Linked DNA regions of Drosophila melanogaster. The protein of the gene in region 2 purifies or fractionates together with the protein of the main gene of each other region. This does not show direct contact. Each region holds a gene or a part of one and is shown on either strand. Other genes may lie near its edges. The genes, in order: TER94, Roc1a, Cul2 and Cul4.

The links.
Region 1: the proteins of Roc1a (region 2) and TER94 purify together in Drosophila melanogaster (affinity purification with western blotting, with the first as the bait; one study listed by BioGRID). This does not show direct contact.
Region 3: the proteins of Roc1a (region 2) and Cul2 purify together in Drosophila melanogaster (affinity purification with western blotting; 2 studies listed by BioGRID, with this or other methods). This does not show direct contact.
Region 4: the proteins of Roc1a (region 2) and Cul4 purify together in Drosophila melanogaster (affinity purification with western blotting, with the first as the bait; one study listed by BioGRID). This does not show direct contact.

The regions. Positions count from the first base shown.
Region 1 is NT_033778.4:9,988,345-9,994,073, reverse strand, and holds TER94 (transitional endoplasmic reticulum 94), read right to left. Parts: upstream 3,872-5,729; 5' UTR 3,777-3,871; coding exon 3,685-3,776; intron 3,604-3,684; coding exon 3,501-3,603; intron 3,415-3,500; coding exon 1,378-3,414; intron 1,312-1,377; coding exon 1,157-1,311; intron 1,091-1,156; coding exon 997-1,090; 3' UTR 515-996; downstream 1-514.
Region 2 is NC_004354.4:645,510-649,134, reverse strand, and holds Roc1a (regulator of cullins 1a), read right to left. Parts: upstream 1,832-3,625; 5' UTR 1,688-1,831; coding exon 1,498-1,687; intron 1,433-1,497; coding exon 1,212-1,432; 3' UTR 538-1,211; downstream 1-537. Other genes in the region: CG13367 (uncharacterized protein), read right to left, coding at 2,937-3,145, 3,222-3,625. UniProt on the Drosophila melanogaster protein: Core component of multiple SCF (SKP1-CUL1-F-box protein) E3 ubiquitin-protein ligase complexes which mediate the ubiquitination of proteins involved in cell cycle progression, signal transduction and transcription.
Region 3 is NT_033779.5:21,656,872-21,664,200, reverse strand, and holds Cul2 (cullin 2), read right to left. Parts: upstream 5,467-7,329; 5' UTR 5,240-5,466; intron 5,107-5,239; 5' UTR 5,048-5,106; coding exon 4,929-5,047; intron 4,362-4,928; coding exon 4,137-4,361; intron 4,079-4,136; coding exon 3,001-4,078; intron 2,854-3,000; coding exon 2,736-2,853; intron 2,672-2,735; coding exon 2,565-2,671; intron 2,118-2,564; coding exon 1,749-2,117; intron 1,684-1,748; coding exon 1,570-1,683; intron 1,513-1,569; coding exon 1,381-1,512; 3' UTR 503-1,380; downstream 1-502.
Region 4 is NT_033778.4:8,101,724-8,108,292, forward strand, and holds Cul4 (cullin 4), read right to left. Parts: upstream 4,596-6,569; 5' UTR 4,294-4,595; intron 4,217-4,293; 5' UTR 4,127-4,216; coding exon 3,802-4,126; intron 3,735-3,801; coding exon 3,490-3,734; intron 3,429-3,489; coding exon 2,968-3,428; intron 2,917-2,967; coding exon 2,730-2,916; intron 2,632-2,729; coding exon 2,439-2,631; intron 2,381-2,438; coding exon 2,244-2,380; intron 2,190-2,243; coding exon 1,800-2,189; intron 1,739-1,799; coding exon 1,460-1,738; intron 1,400-1,459; coding exon 1,247-1,399; intron 1,184-1,246; coding exon 1,088-1,183; 3' UTR 885-1,087; exon of another isoform or gene 822-884; 3' UTR 537-821; downstream 1-536. Other genes in the region: Tmem63 (transmembrane protein 63), read left to right, coding at 1-181; udd (under-developed), read left to right, coding at 4,733-5,212.

The DNA.
Region 1 (5,729 bases), on a different chromosome or scaffold from region 2:
AAAGAATGGCAAAGAAAGTTTATTTATAAGACCGAAGCGATAATGATTATTTAAATATGAAAGAATTCAACTAACTTCATATTAAGATGTCCTTGTTATGTCGCAAAGAATTAATAAAAATAAAAGTGAAAAAACAATTGAAAACCAGAAAAAGCAAACATGACGAATTAATACAAGTTTAATAAATGCGATAAAACAAATGAAATGATATTTTCAAATGGGAACAGTATGGATTTGGTTAGTACTCTTGATGACTAAATTGGACTTGCAGAAATCGAGGCACGAAGACATATTTTTTCACTGCACTCATACGAGTACCGACCAATTTAATTTATTACGCATTTTATTGCACTGTGGCCAATGATCAGTTAAAATAAAGCAACGTTCCACTTTGCTAGTGAACCTTATCAAAAATAAATAATTGATTATGTAACTCTTGCTCTTTAATCTCAACACCCAATTACCTCGTTGCGTCTATTTTTCAATATTTCTTCAATTTAAAGCACATGATTTTGTTGAATTTATAATTTTTATTCACTTAAAAATGTAGCTCCAAATACACTTATAATTTTACGGTGTTTAATATATGTATTTATCTTTAAATGTATGTGTGTATGTGTATCGTTAATAATTATGTTTATAGAAACTCATATATCGGAGCCACTCTACCGACAATGCACGAATGATTAGTGTGAGGCGCGGAATAGTTCGCCAATTAAAATGGTTTCGGATTAGGCGAGCCCAAATCCAAATGGGAACCTTCTCCTACTGCACGTATCCGCGACCAAGAGTAAGGATGGTATCAAAGAAGTGAATATTGAATCGGGTATGTCATCTGATTTCGCCATCGGCTGGATGTCTTAGCCAATGGTTGCTGTAGTAAGTTACCGCGTCCAGGATGCGAATGTGATTGGTTTTGCTTGCTCGGTTTTACGGAAAAAATTCATTTAAAAAGTTCCATTTTGTGGTTTTGTTTTGCGGTGTAAAACTAGAAATCTAACTGTAAAGATCATCGTCGCCGTTGTCGCCGGGCGAGTTAACTGGCAAGTTGTTACCAGATCCTGAGGTGTTGCCGGTTTGACCGGGGAATCTGCAATAACATATACACTATCATCAGTAACCTGGATTCCAACAAGAAATGCCTTTCAATTCTCACCTGAAGTTCTGTCCGAATCCACGGGACTGCTGCAAAGTCTGGGCAAACATCTCGTACTTCCTGATGTCATTATCGGACACCGAACGGCGAGCGAACTTCATGGCCTCCTCGAAGTGGGCGCTAGTAATCTCCGGCACTGGATCGTCCTCGTCCATCTGATTATATGGGTAAATAGTCAAACATAAACATTCTTATTTTTTGCGCTAAGCTAAATGACTTACGTCCATCGCGGAGTTCTGATTTTCGGCGCGCTCCTTCTCGCGACGAATTTCAGCCTCGATGGCCTGTCGGATGGCCAGCTTGCAAGCCCGCTGGCAGATCTCGGTCAGATCGGCGCCAGAGAAGCCCTGCGTCACCTTGGCGATGTAGGTAAGGTCTACTTCCTTGGCCAGCGGCGACTTGCGCAAGTTAGCCTTCAGGATAGCCTCACGCGATTTGTCGTCGGGCAGCGGAATATAGATCAACTGATCCAGACGGCCCGGACGGAGGATGGCCGGATCGATAATGTCCGGGCGATTGGTGGCTCCGATGATGAACACATTCTTCTTGGCTCCCATGCCATCCATTTCGGTAAGGATCTGATTGATCACACGATCAGCGGCGCCGCCAGCATCGCCGACATTACCGCCACGGGCTTTGGCGATCGAGTCCAGCTCGTCGAAGAAGAGCACACAAGGAGCCGCCGAGCGGGCCTTATCGAAGATGTCGCGCACGTTGGCCTCAGACTCGCCGAACCACATGGTCAGCAGTTCGGGACCCTTGACTGAGATGAAGTTCGCCTGGCACTCGTTGGCAATGGCCTTGGCCAGCAGCGTCTTACCGCAACCAGGGGGTCCGTAGAAAAGGACACCGCGACTGGGCTGCATGCCAAACTTCAAGAACTTGTCCGGATGCTCCACTGGGTATTGCACCAGCTCCTGCAATTCCTTCTTGACGCTCTCCAGACCTCCGATGTCTGTCCAGGTGGTGTTGGGCACCTCAACAACAGTTTCACGCAGCGCCGATGGACTGGACTTGGTCATAGCGTAGCGGAAGTTCTCCATTGTCACGGCCAGCGACGCCAGCACCTCGGCATCGATCTTATCGTCTTCCAAATCGATGAGGTCCATCTTCTCACGGATTTGCTGAAGGGCAGCCTCAGAGCAGAGTGAAGCCAGATCAGCGCCCACATGTCCGTGGGATTCGGCAGCAATCTGCTCCAGGTCAACATCATCATGCAGCTTCATGTTCTTGGTGTGAATGCGCAGCACCTCCAGCCGTCCAGTGGCATCTGGAATGCCGATGTCAATCTCACGATCAAAACGTCCAAAGCGACGCAGGGCCGGGTCAATGGAGTTGGGCCTGTTGGTAGCAGCCATAACGATCAGATGGGAGCTCTTCTTCATGCCATCCATCAGGGTCAAAAGCTGCGACACAATGCGACGCTCCACCTCACCGTGGGTCTTGTCACGCTTGGGGGCAATAGCGTCGATCTCATCGATGAAGATGATAGCCGGCGAGTTTTTCTCGGCTTCCTCGAAGGCCTTGCGCAGATTCGATTCCGACTCTCCGGCCAGTTTGGACATGATCTCCGGTCCGTTAATCAGGAAGAAAAAGGCTCCGGTCTCGTTGGCCACAGCCCTGGCAATCAGGGTCTTACCGGTACCCGGGGGACCGTACATAAGAATACCACGCGGTGGCTTCACACCAATGGCCTTGAAGAGCGATGGATGCCGCAAAGGCAACTCAACCATCTCCTTGATCTGGGCCAGCTGCTTGCGGCAACCACCGATATCATCGTAGCCAACGGCGTTTAGGGACTCCTCCTCCTCCTCGCGCTTAATTGGATCACCGTCGCAGAAGATTACCGTCTCGGGAGCTACGATGCAGTAGGGCTCCGGGTCGGTCAGCACCACCTTGAACTCAATAGGACGCATGGCGGCGCGCACAATAAAGTTGTCGCCCATGTGGATTGGCCGATAGGCCTCTAGGAAGTACGGCTTCAGATAGATCTCGAACAGGTTGCCGGTAACGCCTTCGGTGCTTTCGTCGATGGGCAGGATGCGCACCCGTTTGCCGTACTTGACGTCCGGGCAGGACTGCACGGAAACCACATCTGAAAGATGGACGCACAGGTTGTTGCGCACCACGCGGTTCATGCGGATCTTCTCGTCGGGACAGGTGTCGTCCGAGAGCACGATGCACACCGTCTCCTTTCGGCGCTTGCCCTTCAGAATCACGGTGTCGCCACGGAAGAGCTGCAGCTCATCCATCTTCGCCTGATATAGTTTAAGGGGGAAAAAGAACAGCCAAGTCATGTGAATTAGCCATGCGATGACGTGGCCTTTGGGAGAGTGAATCTTACCTGCGATAGCGACACCACAGAGTTGTCGTCATTCTGCGCCTCTTCCACAATCAGTCGGTTGGGACGGTCCTTGCGCTTCAGGATCGCCGTAGCCAGATCTTCACTGTAGGGTAGAAGAAAAAAGCATCGCGTAAGACTCGTCGCTAAAGAAATATCTTATGTCTTATATATAATTTGGCCTAACCGCTTATCGAACGAGTCTTTCGGCTTCATTTTCTCATCCTGCTCGCTGTGATATCCCCGCATAAAGTCCCTCGTATCCCCATCATGATCCATCTTATCGTTCTTGCCGCCAGACATTGTTTTTTTTGTTTTTTTTTTTGTTTTTTTGGATTGCCTTTTTTGTTAGTTTTGATAAATTTATGGAAACTACTTTCACTAGTAATACGGAATGGAACTAAGCATCTGGATAATTAGGCCTGCCGAATCATTTTTCGTTGCTAACGTGATGATGTCGATCAATCTTTATTGATAGATTTTTGAACATAAAAGGTTATCACCCTATATCGTTCATAAAAATCTATATTAATCGGAATAATAGTACAATTGTTTATTGTCTTTAGTTATAAAAGTATGTTTGTATTTCTTGTATTCGATGCCAACTTTTTTGGCGCCATTTGTTATAATAATTTCTAAACTTTGAGGTAAATTATGCATTTATTGTTACTTAAACGATATGTTTTTTTTTACTTCTGGCGAGTTGAGGGAGCACAAAGACTTTTCTAGAATTAATGCAATATCAAAAAAGGTATTACTAATAGGTAGCATTGAAATAAGTGGTTTCGGCATATAGTTTAGGATTTTCGCGATTTATTATAGAAATAGCTGCCATATATGTATGCAGTATTGTTTTTCGTATCCAAAGTTATAACTACAACAACCGGAAAATTGTATCCTCCAGCAAAGGATGACTTGTATTTTTGGGACAACAAAGGGAAATCGTAAGTTTTCAAGCGGCAACAACAACTGCAAGGGCAGTAACACCAACAACAACAACAACGTACTGCAAATGGCGATTCTCGCTGGCGTTTTTTTTTCTTCGGTTTTTAGGTTTGCCCTAGTTTCGCAACATTTTGCAACCGAGCAGTGGAAAAGTCGCGGTAAATGTCTTTGTCTCGCGGAAATCGGCGAAAGCCTTTCACAATTAAATAATAGTATGTCTGCGATGTGGCCCTTGCGTATTTTTTTCGGCTCAATGACTGAGCGAAATTTGTGAATTTCGACTTGGACCGACACAGTCGGCGCCTATTTCGGCGTCCAGTTCACTTACCCCTTGGAATCTGCCATGATAAACTAGTTGACGTTGAACTTTTTAACTTAATTGTACAATTCGGCGCGACTTGGACTATTCGTTGAGCTGGAAATCGGCACTTTTAGTCAAATTCAAAGATGAGGCAGCAGAAACAGATTGGTGATGTGCGTTACCGGACATTCATCGATTGGGCTTAGAAAATATCGATTACACGCTGCGATGGTTTGTAAAAGAAATTGAAGTGGCAACGCTAAAGGAAAGAGTGGCAATGTGTGCAGGTGCCTAACTTGGCTATGCTCGCTGGCAGATGATCGCTGCTATGAAGCCATGCGTGATAACGTAGCTGCTTACGTTTTTATTGAAAAAGTGCAGCATACTTTTCGGCTATGTCTATATCTAAAATATATGTAGGAAGTATGTAGAACTCAATCCGTCTATTTCACTTAGTTGTAGAAGTTTTGGTAGTAAGAAAAAATCTTCATTCATTCATTTCCCTAGAACACTCGGCCATCAACCTGTCCCTACAATAACTGCTCAATCGCAGCTTATGCTCGTAAAAACTTTTTAGTATTCATGGTTTTGGCATTAACGATGCCAATTATGGCAGCGTTTTATTTAGCTTTACTTTCAGTTTTATTTTTTAGTACTTAAGAGAGTGACAGCGACGTCGGCAGAGAGGAGAGCAGCGTCATTGGGCGTGGTCGCTGCCCCCAAAAGAATGGGAGCAAACTCCATAGAAACGCAGAACGAATTCAACCAATCGCCTGCAAGTCTCTTGTCTTCGAAGAGCGCCTGCGCAGAGAGCAAAAGAAAGTGGCGAGCGGAAACCAGTTTTTGTGACGATGAGGGTGACGATGAAGAGGAGTGGGGAGTCGGGGTGGCTGATAAAGATGGCCGTCGCCTTCCGCGGCGCAGGAAGCAGCGAAGAGCGGGGGGCAGGGCAGCGGAACCGCCTCAGACCCAAAGTCACAATTATG
Region 2 (3,625 bases):
AACCAGAACAGCAATATATAAATAATAACATATATGCATGGTGTATATACAAGATATACGAGACAAACTTAATGTTAATTACTACAAAGCGAGCTGGTTGAAGAGACCGAAAGGAGGAGGAGCTTACACTTTCACATACATATAACAATAACAATGTATATAAACCAAAAAGCGGGAAATTTAATTATAAAGCAAGCGAAAACAATTGAACAGAAGATTCAAATAAAACGCTAAATACAACTCGATACAAGTGGTGGTTCAAGTGGTTCGACGGACCATGCAATCTGGTTTAATTCACATGAATCTGAATCCAAAACAACTCGCACTCCCTGCCCTTCGTTTTATTGCCAGCTTATTGTTTATTTTGTTCTCTGTGAAATTTGGTTTTTAAAAGGCGACAGATAGAAAACTACAACTAAACCATCACAACCACACACACACACGAAGCAAATTCGATGATTTTTTAACGACATAATTATTTTTTGTTTACCTATAAGTTTAGTTAGTAGCTTATGCAATTAAACATTAATCATATTTGATATATACCATATACTTTATTCATATCTGTAACTAATGTGTATTATTTTCTAAGCTGCCGCGGCCGCAAAACATTCATAATAAACTAAAAAGAACATTTAGTTTTTACAAACGCAGCTCTTTCTTTGCATCGACTGATTTTGATTTGTTTTTACGAAACTACTTTCATATATCTGAACAACCTGATCTGGAGCTGGTCATGACGCATATAGTTAAGCAAAACTAAACTAGTTTGAACTAGCCAGATCCTCTTCAAATGCCATCCAAGGATAACTAAGCAGAGCTACATTTATGGAACCCAATGACCCAATCATATTTTTTGCCAGTCATGAGTTATATACTCTGAAAATTTAGGCACGACTAGCTAGTGGATTTCGCGGTAAGATGCCATCGTCACAGTGAATATAGACTCCAAAGGGTGAAAGGTAGAAACATCCGTCTAGTCTTCTCCATCTTCTACAGCTTTTATTTAACGCGTTACAAAAAGGTGCGCTTCCCGGGGAGTCTCGGAAATCGGTAACTGTGCTCCTAAAGGCTACCAGTTCACTCGAATCGCCCCACTAGCTTAAGATCTAAAAAGGTATTCAAATGTCCAGATGAAGCAGGCCTCCATCATCTAGCTTGCGGGAAGTGCTGCTCCCTCCATCTGGTGGGTCTTGGGGGTTTTGTAGATTTTAGTGGCCGTACTTCTGGAAATCCCACTCGCGGTTGTCCAGTGGGCATACCTGGCGCGTCTTTAGCCAGCGAGAGATGCAGTGGAAATGGAAGGCGTGGTTGCAGACGCCCCAGGCCACGGTGCACTCCTCGCTAGTGGCGGACGCCTGGTTCGCCTGACACTCGATGCACAAGTCCATGATGTGGTTGCGGCAGATGGCGCAGTTGTCCACCACGATGTCTGCATCGAAATGGAATGCGGTTAATCCCCCGACTCGGAGCACTACAATTCGCATTACTACTTACCCCAGGCCCACAGAGCCACGGCGTTCCACTGTTTTCGGCGAAGCGGAAAGGATGAAGTGTTACCATCAGTACATTCATTGACAATGACCCTGCTTTTTTGCTGACCACTTACCTTCTTCACCTCAAAGCGCTTCTTATCGCCCTTGCTGCTGCTGGAGGGAACCTCGTATCCATCCTCGTCGACTTCCATGGTGGAAATACACCTATTTATCCTGACAAAACTCTCGCAACACAAATGCAATTTTCACAACTAACGTAGTTTTGGCTTTTCTGTCCCTATCCTTTTCGTTTTAATAGAAAACCACTCGCAGTGAGGCTCAAGCAGTGTGACCGCCGCTTTTTCTCGTAAAGGTGGCGAAACATCGATGCCAACATCGATGGCGTCGATGGTATCGATGGTATTTACTGCACATCGGAGAAGATATGTGTATATATTGTAAGTATAAATTGTAAGTTCCATATTTTTTAATAGAATTATTAATAACATATCGCAAATTTAGTGTGACTTGCTGGTGGTGTTGGCTGATGTCCTGAAAGACGTGGATAAATATCTGAAATTTAAGTTTTTAACTCCTGAATAAGGAGGGATGAAGACGTAGACGACAATAAGTTTATGTTTAGTTAAAATACTGCCTTTTTTATTTAGTCAATATTAAAAAAGAAAATAATATTTAAATTAAACAGATAATTTTTTTGTTTTTATTTAAAACATCGATGTTTAGAACAACATGTTTAAAGAATATGTTTAAGACTTTGATATTTTTCGCCAAATCGGAAACATCGATGTTTCTCCACCACTATTTTCTCGTCTAATTCAATAACGATTCCGATTCGTGTCGATAACCTTTTGGTATCTTAATCAAAATTTTTAATGTTTTGTTTATGGTATACCGATCAAATTGCAAAAAAGTAAAATCGAAGAAAAATCAAAACATTTTTCAAAAGTATATGCGTGGCAGTTTTGGGCGGTTTGTGGGCGTGGGAATTAGTTTTTTGCAATTCAAACAGGACTTATAACAAAATTTTAAAAATATCAAAACATTTTTCAAAAGTGCGCGCGTAGCGTTGGACGACACTAAACTGGGCCACATGGGTCAACAAACTTGCGCTGCGACTGTCTGTTTTATAGTTCCTGAGATTGAGGCGTTCATACGGTCAGACGGACATGGCCAGTTCGACTCGGCTATTGATCCTGATCAAGAACATATGTTTATACATGTATACTTTATAGGTCGGAAACGCTTCGTTATCCATAATTACAAAATTGTATTTTATTCATTAATTGCTGATTGAGTTCAGTTGGTACTACAGTACATCAAGTACTTTTTGAATTATTTTCTGTTCGGCAAGTAGCCCGTTTACGAAGAGTAAAAGTTGCAATAAATTAGATTTTTCAAATTCAGGGCTCCGGCCATCCTGCCCTTGAGCCACCTCTTCTGCTAGGAGGCACCGCCCGCTTTGTGGCCACTGCCCTTTTCCCGCTTGACTATCGGCAGCCGCGTCCAGATGTAGCCGCCCGATCTCTGGGCAGTGTACTCATCCACGTCCGGCAGGGGAAACGGGGTGCTCCGGTCGAAGTAGTAGTTGCTGGGAGCATGCATCACGAACTCTAGGTAGCAGAGCTTCCGGGACAGCTCCTCATCGGGTCCTGCAGGCACGGGAGTTAAGCAAAAATACAATTTAAAAAACTTTGGGTAGCAGGCAGGAGGACAGGACTGACATACCGATTAGGTAGGTAGGGGGATCGAAGCCCTCCTGGGGATCCGGACTGTCCTGCGTGGGAATCAGCCAGGTGAGGAAGGCGGACTTCTCGCAATAGGCGTCCACAAGCAGACCGCGTATCTGGGCGTAGTACAGATTCTGCTCGCTGTCCACAATGCTGACGATATCCCCGATTTGTATATAGCTGCCCTTGTGGAAAAGGCTTCTCACGAACCTGGTGCTCGCCTGCACCTTGGGAGTTTTCTGTGCTGGTTTCTTGAAGAGAGCGCGGCGATTACGGGCTCCAGTGGCCCCGCCTGTGCCCGCTGGACCGGACTTCCCATGCTTGTTGGTATTACTGGGATGGGCGCCAGCGCCCGCGAGGTGCACGGAGCTGCCGGTGGAACCATTCGCCCCGCTATTGTGG
Region 3 (7,329 bases), on a different chromosome or scaffold from region 2:
CTCAAAAACAAGATAAAATTATTATTAACGAATTGTATTACAGTTACAGCTATTACATCCAAAATGCTTTTAAGTCGTTGAAGGCAGTTGTTTTCAGGGTATGGCCATGGATTCAGAAGCGTTAAAAAGATTTTTATGGGACCGCTTTTTTTATCGCGAAACAAATTACAATCATGTTCTACCGAATTTATCAAAACAAATTAATGTTATCAGCGACTTAAAAGTATTTTTTATTTATTCCGTTCAATGAACTAGTGTTATTTGATATAGGAAGTTAATAATTTTTATAATTAACTATTAAGTTACATATACATATTTGTAAAATTAATTAATTTACCATTATGATATATATTTTTTAGAAAAGTAGCACAAAAGAAATAAAAATGACTAAAAACAAATATAATCCACGGCCCTTGGGTATTTAATATATACAAATATTGGATTTCTTGGCAAAGGCGAAACTTAAATGGTTACTGAACATACGTACAAGGTATTGTAAATTAATAAAATCGACATTCTAAGATTAGTAAAAGAATTTAAGGGAATTTTATATTTTAAACCAAGGTCCAATAAAATGTGTGAGCAAAAACAAAAAGATGGGAAAGTCCTTAAAAGCTCTTTTAAAACAAAATCTAAGAATCTTAGCAATCTTGAAAGTTTCGAAAAATGTTTGCTTTTACACTTTCTTTGGCACTTTGACAACTCAAAGCTCAATATACGATATGCCAATTTGTAGGTGGTGGTACGCCTATTTCTACCCGGATTCGTTATTAAAAAGTACTAGAAAATCAAAAAATTATAAGAATGGGATTCCGGACAATAGATCCAGTTTTTTCCGAGACGACCAAATAAAAAGTACAGATCTCTATCCGCATACTTAAACTGCAATGCTGACTGCTTTTTGCACAGCATTCATTTATGTAAATTTGAAGTGTACAGTGGTACAGCGTTAACGCACAGGATACGAAATACTTTGAATGACATATTTTTAGACATTTTTTGGGATTTATTATACATTTTCCAGCACATTATTCTGGTTTGTGCGTGTGTTAATAAAACCAGATAAATATACAATACATAAAGAAATATATTATATCTACAATTGAATAGGACACACGCATTAAATCAAAATGGATCAACTAACTAAGCTAAATTAAAAGTATCAGTAACGTCGTTTGATTTCCACACACCTTTCATACCAATATGCTATGACCACAAAAATAACAAAACTCAAATTGCTTGACCTTTTGATTTCTTTTTTTAACATTGTAGGTAGTTCTTTTTAGACAAAATAAGCCGCTTGGTTAGCGTCAGTTGTGTGTATGGGAGGTTGTTGTCCGGGAAGGTTCTTGTTTAAGAATAAAAAATCTCTACCGCAGTCTATGCCATGTAGCTATATTCATCGCCCGAGTTCGCCGTTCGCTCAATATATTGTTTGTCAATTAATGACTCCACGCATTTCTTGATCATTGCTATGTTGGGAGTAAAGCTAACCTTCGATAAAGAGAGAACCTAAAGAAAAAATACATCATGTAATTTTAATTCACAGTCAGGTGTTTTAGATATTACCTCTTGTATTAAGGCATTGTGCTTTAAGACTTTACGCGCTTTCATAATCCTTACAATGGCGGCTTGTAGAAAGAGTTTTCGGTCCTCATCTACCGAGTTAATTGTGTGCTCAACCTACATAAATAACGTCGTTAGAAAACCAGGTACCAGGTAACCAGGTTGAAATCGAAATGCCTTACCTCCTGTGGCGTTTCTTTTTGCAAAGCCGAACTTATTTTAAACTTTGTACGCTTATTTGTGTAATCCAAATTTAATTCTATTCGAGTCTCACCGGCGAGATTCTCTGAGCTGGCATTTAAAAGCTTTGACTCGATAATAGGCTGCATGTGCTTTTGAAACGTTTCGTCGTTTAGCTGTAAGGTGTTCTGGATCTCCCGACAACTCAGACTATCACAAGTCTCGAACAGCAGTATTATCGCCATCTGGTATGTTTGCATAGTCACGATATAAGATTTTTTCAAATGGCTCAACTTTAATTCTCCATGACACATGTGATGTAGCCAAGTCAACTTCCGGCCACTAAATAATTTATGATAGTAATCCTCGAACTGAAAAATCATAACAAAGGTACAGTACACGATTAACGTATACATTTAAAATTTCTGAAGTACCTTCGACAAAGTCACACGGTTTAAGATGTATTTGGACCAAAAGAAGTTGCGTTTTGATTTGGTATGCTAAAGTACCTTTATTGAAATAAAGATACTTTTAACTTTCTATATGTCACACATTTCAAGAGAACACCTTACGATGTAGTCGTCGATTTGAAGGAAAGTTTTTTACATAAAGGTTTTTCTGTATTTATTATTATATATTATTTGTATTTATTGCTGCTTTAAATATTTATATATGTTTCTGAATATTGTTAAAAGGCCTCTCTTTAAAAATTTGACTAAATAAAGAAAGTCTGAAAAAAATTTTTTATAACTTTGGTTTGTCAAAGGCAGCTTCTATCTCGTTTTAAAATAAAATATATACATTTACGAAAAACGTACCATTTTAATAGATTTTTCAAATTCCTGTGGTACTGCAAATGGTATAACTTGAGTAGATCCCAAGGGCCACGCGCCCGCCTGCAGTACCTTAATGGCAAGGTTGATGCCTGCATAGAAATACACATACATAAAAATAAACTATCTTTAATGAATATACATTTTCCGTCTCACCTAAGTCCACATTGCTATCCTTAAGGTGAGTATTAAACTTGTTGTTCAGATCTACTGATACCGATATATCCGTAAACATGCGATGAAGTTTATTGGTAAATTCATAACCGCAGGCTTGCTGTAAGTATTAATAAAAGAAGATCTATTTAAGCTAATGTAGTTTTGTAAAAGGGTCATAACAAATTAAAACAGCATTAAAAATAAATAATTCACATTATTGCAGTTATTCACTGTGAAGTACATTTTAGACTAGCAGACCACGCACCTTCAAACGATTGATCATTCCCTCCTCCGCATCCATGCTCTGACTTTGCTCGTGGATTAGGCGCTTGGCTAACAGTCGGCTATAAAACTTTTGATACACATCCTTATCCTCGATATATTTAAATATGGTTATGTTGTTAGTAAGCTTTTGATCGATCTCTGCCTCGCAGGTCTTAGACTTTTTCAGTAGCGTATCACAGTATTTCGCCACATACTCGGCACTACGGCAAGGCTGCCGCTCGGTTGGCCGGCGATTGATAACGCTGGCGCACGCCTTGTCTAATGCGCTCAGGAATAGAGAATCGTTTTCGAAGACGTCTGCGATCAGCTCTTGGTACTTGTGATGTACCTTCAACATATTCTCTACGAACGCAATATGGATGTTTTCGCCCTTCAGCGCAGATACGGTCTGCAGACCTTCACTTTTGATGTGATCGAGGAAGGTGGTTATGAGCTCAGACTTGAGATTATCGGGTATGGGCTTTAGTACGACGTACATGTTGCGTAAGTCTTGGCGCCGCTCCTCTGAAACCATTTCGCGGCACTCCGAGTAGATGAAGCCCAAACGATCGTTAATAAACTTCTCCTCGCACTCTTTACGTAGTTTTGGCAGGGAACTGACGTGTAAAAACTTTTGGGCTCTCCGGCTTTCATATTCCAGTATCCGGATAACCTCCTGCATGTACTCCGACACTGAGCACCGATGGAGCAACTTGTTAGCCTCGTCTGTGTAGTAGGCGCCACTGGCCTCCAGCATGGGGCCTTCAAAGAGTTCCTGGTAGAGCTTAAGCGAGCCTGTTTTCTTATAGTCCTGTACCTCCACGAAGCTGTGTATCACTCCGTTGATAATTTGCACGCGATGGTGATCCAAGGTGCCATTGCTAGCTCTGTCTGCGGCAATGCCCTCGAGTATGTGACGGACCAGTTCGCTGGACAAGTACTCAATCATATACAGGCGCCAAATGTCTAGACCTAGCTCGCCAATCTCCATCTGCTCCGCAGCATCGCTTGACAGATTACCGTAGAACGATTCCGTATCGGTAATCTTTTGTTTCTTGATGTGTTGTTGATTCAGGTAGCTAAAGGAAATTAATTCCAACGATCATTGAGTTATTACAGACTTCGATGCATTCTTACATGTACAATTGGTGCAGATACTTGATACCCTGGCTATATTCCATCCAGGTGATGTAGTAACGCTGGAGAAGGTCTGGGCCACCATTGGAATGGGAGCATTCTCCCTCGATCAGCACCTTTTTGGCCAGCATCTCCTGGACGTGCTGCTCAAGAAAGTGTTTTGTTTCGCCATAAAGACGATCAGCCATCGGTTCCGGCTGCGCCACGCACAGTGTGTAAACGTCGCTATATGTTAAAGGAATGTGATTGGAAAGACAGATGTATTAGTGCTCGTTATTTTAGAAATTTTATTTTGGCAACTCACGCTTCACACATATATACGAACAGTTGCGGTCAGAATAAAAGCAGCCTGCGTTACACTGTTTTGATTATTAATTTTAAAAAGATACGTCATCGATCTATTTAATATTTACTTGAACTTAGTTTAACCTTTAAGCGGTCAAAATATTTAAATTCAAGCTAGAAAACAGGCATTTATTATTAAAACTATGATTGCATTTATCAAGATTCTACGACATTTACCAAATCATTTTCGCCTCGCTAGCAGCTATATTTGTGAATTTTGCTGTTGAATAAAATATATAGTTGAACCGCTAGGTACTAGTACATTCATAGTTTACCAACTCAAATGCAAAATAATGTGATTGAAACCATTACTTATGTTGGATTAATTTAAAAGTTAGTTAGTGTTATTTGTGTTTCTTCTGAGTTGGGTAACTTTGTAGTCTCTAGTGACCTATCACAATATCTCTCTCCAGGCTGTTTAATACTCCGACCGTTGCCAAGACGTACCTGAAGCTAGTATTCCACACCGAGCGCTCCACTTTGGTGAGCGTTATCACCGACTCGGCGATGCAGCGCAGGCGCGGCCAAACATCGACAAACTCCACTATTTTGGGCTTGAGCGACATGTCAAATGGGTCTTAGTCCTAATCCGTGGTCCGTCTGGATATGGATTTGGAAGGGTTTTCTGATGGGACAGGGTGCACGCTAATTAGAACGCCGACTGATTCTGCCTTCGCAAATATAACAATGGGCGACCGAGCGACCCTCATGCGTTGGCAGAGACCACTTCTGCTTTGCTTTTTGGCATAATCGCTTACTTTTTGCGTGGGGGCCACCAGGCAAATGGCCTTGTCCTCGAGCAATTGCACAGCAGGCCAATTACCGCTTGATGGATCGTGGAGGGGCGCGCTTGCGACCTACTCACCTGCTGCTTAGCTACGCTATTTACTAAATAATTACGCCGAGAATTTAGTTATTTTTGCACTTTTTTTTTGGTATCGTGAAATGGTTTGTCAGACGAAGACGATATCGATATAATCTATCGATATTTGAACTCGACAAAAAATTCGATGTAAAAAGAATGTCGTGTCTCCACTACCGAAACGTTTGCTTTTGTTTTGATCTTAATTTATTGTCAACGCCGATCCACTGAACAAATTTTTTACCTTCCTGCCTAAAAACTGGCCAAAGCCATTTTCTTAAAAAACTGTAAGTGCACAAACCTAAATTGATTTCATATGTGAACTGTAATAATGTTAGGATTTTTTATGATTTTCGTTTTTTTCGATTGCTTATACGTATTGCTATTGCTCTCGAGTGCCAACCTTTTTGTTCAAAAGAATATACATTTTCAAAAGATTTCAAAAGTGAGTTAAGGGTTATGCCTTAAAGGTAAGTGTATGATCTAGAAGAATGATCCATTTTGTACAGACCGAGTTTTAAAGGTCTAAACTGTTAAGTGCCTAGATGTGGCTTTCGAAAAGGCAAACAGAGATACATACAAAAAAATACAAATACAAAGAGATAGATACAAAATAAATACATGTTTAATTACTAAGAAAATATATAAAGGCTAAGATAAACAAACGAAAAAACCATTAAGCTTAAAGAAACAAAAATTTACAAAATGTATAGCTCAAAAAATCAGAAAGTCTCATATTTGTCAATGGCTAAGATCGTTGAGCGCCAAATTTTTTTAGTTGTCTGTTGGTTGTCAGTCGATTGGAACTTTTTTATCCACCAAACCGGAAATTTACTCCAAAGAATAAATTGGAGCCACATCCACCGTAGCCGCCGGTGATCAATACTTGCAACCTTCCATATGCGCCAAAAATTGGCACATCGCCTACCACTATTTCCAGCCTTTGTAGCTTCCAAAGGCCATCCACACATTTCACTTTGACCTATCCAATGTAGCAGTCGTCGATCCAAGTGTGATACCATATACTGATGGAGAAATGGATTGAGATGTAAATGATGTAAAAAATAATTAATATATATACCGAGAATTATTTAAAGAATTCGGACTCCGATTTACCAAAAGGTGTGATGTTCTAAGCATTTCAAAACATTTAAATTTTTTGTCTTTGTGTTCGCTTTAACATTGCTTACATTTTCAGTGTTGTGAGACGTCGGTGGTTATCGACTTTAGTGTTTAGAGCTGTGGCATGGGGGGTACTCCAGCCTGAGGAAAGCCTGAGCCATCAGCACGGCAGACGTTTTGTATTTATTTCTTAATCGTTATTTGGAGGTGAATTCCAAAAAATTAAATAAACTTCAAATTGCACGGTATCTTAAAAATGTTGTAATTTCATTATTTGTGTAAAAAGTTTGATTACAATTTAATCCACAGTTTTCGTGGAGATATAATTTTTCTGTGACTACACGCTTTTTACATGCATTGTTTTCGAAACTGGGATAGACAACAGCCAACATATGTAGATACATGTAAATTAAAATTTAAAATTTATTTATCTTATCTTATCCTTAATTTGAAAATGTTCACAATCTCGTCCGGACTTAGACTGATTTTCTAAATCTAAATCCTAATCCACTCAACCTAGAAATTTTTTAGAATTTTCTGGAACTTCAAATATGTTTAGGATAAAAGCTTTATACTGAAATTATTTCACAGCATTGTGAAATTGAAATTTTCTGACTGGTGTTTACTTTAAGTTTGGTTATTTATCTGCTGCTGAGATTGGAGTTTTGAATTTGTATATCAACATGTACGTGGACAACTTGTATATGTCGCAGATCATTTAAATGTAACGACATTTCTAGTAATTGCCTTTTCTATTCTTTTGATGCGCGGCAGAGAACCGTTAGAGTTTCTGGTCGCGGGTAGGAGCGGGTGCAAGTAGATTTCTGCAGGAATAACGGAAGCGTACAGAAAAATGCGGTGTGC
Region 4 (6,569 bases), on a different chromosome or scaffold from region 2:
CCGCCCAAGCATTGTGGAAATTGCCGGTCCGGCACCCATCTACGTGCCCGATGTGCTGAAAGATAATGGGATAAGGACCAGCAGTGTGCGACCTTCGGCGGCAGCATTTGGGGGCTACGGCTCCGACAGCGTGTCCGAGTACGACAGCTCACAATACAGCGTCAACAGTGTTGAGGCGTAAATGGTATTATTGTCGGGAGACACTACAAATATTTTTGTAATATATCTACAAAAGCCACTAAGAACTTTTCAAGTTGGCAGCTTTGATTTGCATACGAAAGAATGACAGGAGGATAACAGCAAGGCAATTTGTGATACCTAAACCAGCCTCAATGTCATTTTTAATATGACCCCTGCACGCGAAAGCGATAGCAATATTTATTTCTGATCTGTATATAATCTACCTAATTTCCCAATTTTATCTGTAACTGTATATATACTATATTCCTTTGCTAACTGCTTAACAAAGGGCTCGACGCTGATTTTTTGAAGCAGTAATGCTGGTAATATTTTACAAATGAAACACGAAGTGCATTATATTTTCAAGTAATTTTTTATTTATGGTAAATAAAAAACTATTAAGTTATGCGTATCTCTTTTTTGCATACAGAGCTACTAGTACGAGTTATAATTATTTTAATGTTTCCTTTAGAAAATTAGCCTGCAAATGTCACTTCTATTGTTAATTGAAGGAGAATTATCAATTAAAAGTAAACAAATTAGAATAAGTCCAATAAATAAGTTTATTGAACACCTAGTTTGCTTTCGGTTCGAAAACTTTTTTAAATTGCTGGAGGCATCGACGTTCCGAGGGCGATGACCTATTTCAAAGGACTCGGCTTGTAAAATAAACGCTTAATTTATTGTATGATAAGGTAACTTACAAAAAGAACTGTCGCTACACTATTAGCTGGCGGATTGTTCAACGATTTAGTTATAGAAACGAAATTACAGCTGAAAAACTCTGAACATCGCCGATCGGACGAGGGCACTCCAAAAACTTCATTAGACTGCTAGTATGTATGTGTATGGTATAGAGCGAATTACAATCGAATCGGTGTTCGGATTTCACAGAATCTGTGGCCATTTATGCCACATAGTTGTATTGGTTTTGATTATCCTTGTCTCGCTCCATGTAGTCGCGGTCGATGAGCGACTCGATTCGCTTCTTTAGGTCAGCGGGCTGGAATACCAACGAACATATTAGCTTCTTTCTACTTAGAACAAATAGGATTAGTATACGGACCTTGACAGGGAAGGTAAGCTGGTTGAACAGCTCGGTGATGAGAAGATTATGGCTCAGCGTTTTTCGCATTTTCATAATGCGCACAATAGCCGCATCAATTTGATACTGACGATCCTGAAACACACGCTCCTCCGTCGCCTTTTGCTCCTCATTCTAATGGAAAAGGGGAAAGATTAAGTGTGTGCAAATTACATCAAAACTAAAGCCACTTACTGTCTCCTTCATCTGTATTTGGTTGATCTTGATTCTAAACAATTTGTTTGTGAACTCATTGTTAAAATCAAACTGATCGCCATCCAAGATTTCGCGGCCTTTCGGTGTTTTTGTTATGACGCGGGCGCGCCCACAAGCCAGGGACTGAAGTGTTCGACGCAACTCTCCATCCTCGATGAGGGTGGCGGCCAATATCTCCTCGTAGCTCAGAACTGGCTTATCGTTAAACAATAGAAGCACAAGCGCTTGAAACAGCGAGACCAACAATTCTTTCGGTCCCTGTGAAACATACGTAAACATTGCAATCGCATAGAACATAGTAGGAGCCATTAGTAGTTACCGCATCGAATTGAGCACGCAGCATACAATTTCCTAATGTAGGCTGCCACTGCAACTTCCGCCCACTATGCTTTTCCAGATAAAATTTGTTGAAAATCTGCTGAGGATTGATGAACTGTGGCGGCATTGTGACCTCTGTAGGTGCATATGTAGGCCAGTAGCCCATGGTAAGAATGCTGACGCACAAGTCCAAGTTGTGGACATCGCGGTTGTTGCTTAACGCGTGTCCGCGGAACGCAATGTTGATATCTCGGCTCAGTTCCATGTCCTTAAACATGCCCTCCAGCTTGGACGTAAACCCTCCACCGCACTCCTGCTTAAGCTTGGAGAGCATACTCTTTTCGGAATCCACTGATGCCGATTTGCCCACAAGTAATCGTTTGGCCAAGTCCTAAGATGGTATTCGTTATTAAATAATGCTCGACATACAATAGATGGACACAACCTTTTTGTAAAACGCTTCAAATACATCTTTGCCATGTATAAAACGAAACAGAACCATGATTTTATCTAGAGTCTTTTCCAACTCCTCATCTGTGGTTCCCTTGTTGCCAGATCGCAGTTTCATATCTACGTATTTAGCTAATGGAAGAATAAACTTTAGCAAACTCGTTTAAATATAGTGACAGTGGGCGCTTACCAATAAGCTCGGCCGGCTTGTTGGCACGTTGGTTGATAAAGAACTCAAAGGCCTCGCGCAACGAGTTTGTGAATTTCTCATTGTGCTCAAAGCAGGTGCGAACTATCACATCCATTTTGTCCTTGAAATCGAGCAAATCTTGGACCATGCTCTTATCCTTCTCGGGATCGATGACAATGGTGCGTCCCTTTTTCTGAAAGTAAGTATATTAGCGCGATCTATTAATATGTTTTACTGCAGTTAAAACAAAGGTATCTTTAAATAAATTTATACTACTTAACATATCCATACCTTAATGAAACCGTTGAAATTGCCGCACAGCTCGGATGTTCCATTTTTGACTCGACTAAGCAGCCCGTACAACAGTGTAAGGTCACTCAGTCTGTTGTCTTCCAACAATGAATCCAAGCCCTTCTGCAATATTGACGTTAGGTGTTCGGCAAGTAACTCTTTTTCCACATTGTAAATCAGTGGATGTCTGTAAAAAACGCATTAATAATTGTTTTTATTATTGACTTCGCCAGCATACTTGGTGCTCGAGTCCAGATAGTGACGCAAACGCTCGTTCTCCTCGGCCAAACGCTTGTTGACGTGTTGTAAGTACTCGGGAACTTCCAGTTCTTGCATCTTGCGTTGACTCTCAGCCTTATACAATTGATTGGTTGCGTCGAGGAACTTCTCCTCAAAGGAGCTGGTGTAGATCTGCAGGTCGCATAACATGCGAACCAAGCTCTTCAGCAAACCACGGTCCACGGTGGAGCCTTGTCGTTCTTTTTCAATAAGCGTTAGTAAACCGTCGACGGTTCGCTTTTGGACAACGCTGTTTTGAGCAAAATGGATGCGAAAAAGGTCCAGCCCCATGTCCCAAATCGAGTGAACGGTCGAATTTTGCAGCACATAAGTTCGATCCATATACAAGAATATGCTGCGAATCATGATCATTTGTTGGCAGAACGAGAGCCACCAGTGGTTGATCTTTTCCAGCAAAATCTAAAAGACAATAAAAGTTGACGAGTAAACCTTTAAATGTGCTCCTTAAACAGCAACTTACCAGTTTGTCCATGCTACCGCCGGTGAGCTCCTTGAGCTTAATATTGCGCTTTACGTGTTGCTCTGTTAGCTCCTTGAGTTTCGCGTATAATTGTGCATCCATCTTGTGGCTACACATGTTCACCACCGCCTGGTAGAGCTCCTCCAGCGAATATTTAATGGGCTTGGAGAGTTGGATGGCGATAACGGCTTCTTCAAGCTTCACGTACGTGTCCTTGGAATAGTTATCGGGCAGTGTAGGCTTATCTAAGGAAGGAAGGAAGGAAGTTGAATCATGCAGTATACAAACAGTTGAGATCTAGACGGGACCTACCCTTAAAGTTCTTAATCACTATCTTCTTGACATCGCCAGGCTTGCTGTTGTGAATAGCCCCCATGCGATTGAGGAGATTTGAGGTAGTTGAAGCCGTGCGGATCTCGCCATGGCTGCCGCCTAGCTTGGAGAAGTTTGGCAGGCGCTCGCCGTTGGTGGACGCAGAATTCATGTTTTGGGCAGCGAAGGCACTGCGGCCCACGCTCGAGGCGGCAGCAGCGGTGGGGGCGACGTTCTCGGCCTTCTTCAGGCAGGCGGCAATATTCTCTGTGTTCTCGTGCAGCTCAGTTGTGTCCATGGGCTTGTACTTCTTGGCCGCACTCATAGCTTAGGGCCCCTGCTGCCAGCAGGATCTCCACTCCGCTCCTGCTCTCCTGATCCTGCCCTGCTTTCGTCGCACCGGCTTTGCTTAGTCCTGGGCGTGGAGATCGGTTATTGATTGCTGGCTTTTCCTTTAAGGGAAGGGATTGCAGTTTGTATTTCGATACGTACCCTTGAAATGATTACCAGCAAATATTCGTAATATTTTTGCGACTTTTGCACTGGGGTCGTCAAGAAATTGGCAACTTGCGAACTCAAGGCAAATAGACTTCCTGTGAATTTTCCGGCTGCGAAGTAGATTTCTCCGACAAACGGCGTCCTTTTGGACAAATGGGGTTCCTTCGACGCCTGAGAGACTATTCAAATCGACAAAACTTCGGAAGTACAATTACACAGGCAACATTTTATTATTTCGCTTTTGGTTGCATGCGGAAAATATTGCTTTTTGGGATATCGGACGAATCAAAACATCGATTGGCTGCGGGTAATCGATAGCTCAGCGGGCAGCACTGCCTATCGATATTGGTGTGAAACAGGTTAACATTGCCTATCACTGTTAGCACGACGCATTGTGTTCGCGACGCATTTATGTTCGCTTTCGCCATATAAAATGAAAACAAAAGATGAGAAGCCATCGCCTTTGAAAACTGCACCGCGTAAAATAAAGGGTGAGAATTTTCCAGCCAGAAGGATACCCGCAAATGTTTTGAAACGCACGCTTGAGATCGCCACCAGTCCCGAAGATGGCTTTTGGGTGAACCAAAACCCATCCTGTGCTCCTCCGGCCAGTAACGAGTTTTACTTCAGCGTTCGACGATCCACTGCGTACGAGAAACTACGACTGGCCCGGGATTGCCTTATGCAGCGGGACTACAAGAACTTGGCAAAAATACTGGCCTCCAATCATATGGGAGAAACGCTGCTCCAAAGGGCGTCCTTTCAAATATTCACGGAATACTCCAAGGTTCTTCAAAAGTGCCCAAAGTTCTACACGAAAATGGAGCAGTTGCGAGTGGAGCCGACTCCTCCGACGAGACCCACAGATGAAGACATAGCATTAGACGATTCATTAAATGCTATTCTATCCTAGTTACCTTTTTTAATAACGACGAAGTTAGGCAAGAAATATAATATAACTACCTCATAAAAAAACGCATATTAAATTGCCTATTAAAACTGCGTCCATCCCACTAATATATAGTGACGTATTTGGGTGGTCCAAACCAGCCACTTCCATTATTTCAAAGAAATCAGTAATGCACTCTAGTAATTTTCCATAACGTATCCCAGCTGCGCAGCATTCGTTTATCTTTGGCAGCGCAGCCGTTCTTGTAAACATCCTAAAGCCTGACCTAAGCAGATTTGACTGCCCTCTTTCAACGCTACCTAATCTTAAGAACCCAAGAGCGAGGCTCTCCCGAAATACAAATATTGTTCAAATACTGAGGCTTCTCCTCAATCCAATTTGCATTTGATTTTTAGTCTTAAGCTGAGATCCAAAGAATAAAGTCGTGAAACTATTTCTCCTAAAAACTATTTTTTATTTCTTGGCGTTGTCCTTAGTCAACTGACGGGACATTAGTTCGACTCATAAATAAAACAACAATTTTACTGGCGCAGTCGGTAGGATACAAAAGTATCCGAAAAAAAAAGAACCTTCGAGTGGAAAATAAGTTAAATTTTATAGTCCAGTGCTCGAAACATCTCCCAAAATAAATTCGTGAAAACTCTTCAACTTGGATTATAATTCCAATTCGGTTATCCAATAATAAGTGGAAGTGAAATACGAAACAAAAATATTAAGTCCAAAGGCAACTAAGTTTTAAAACCAACATATAAAAATAAAAAATTAAAACAATATAGAATTTTAATAATACAACACAAAAATTTACAAAACAAAAAAAAACAAACAAGTGAAACTAGAAAGCTTAAAAATAATAATAACATTGAATCCGAAACAAAACAAAAAAATAAAACACAAAAGTTAAAAATTTTACAATAAAAATGTCACAACCAATTATTGCGCTGAGCGACATAAACCTTGCCGAAGCCCGTCGGCAGCTTAAAGACATTATGCCATTCAAGGGTGATCCAGAAACCCTTCACACCTTTATCAGCAGAGTGGATTACGTAATTTCGCTCTACCAAACAAATGATGTCCGACAACAGAGGATTCTACTGGGAGCCATCGAAAGGAACTTGGACGGACAAATTACACGATCTTTGGGACTTCCGAACATCGAAGATTGGCCTACCCTTAAAGCAAGACTCATCGCGGAATTTAAAATTCAAACACCAAACTACAAACTTCTGGAGAACTTCAGGGAGACACCATACAGAGGAAGCCTAAGAGCATTCTGCGAAGAAGCGGAGAGACGACGTCAATTACTAATTTCGAAACTACACCTGGAAGGTAACCAATCGGATTTTCTTATTTATATTCAGGG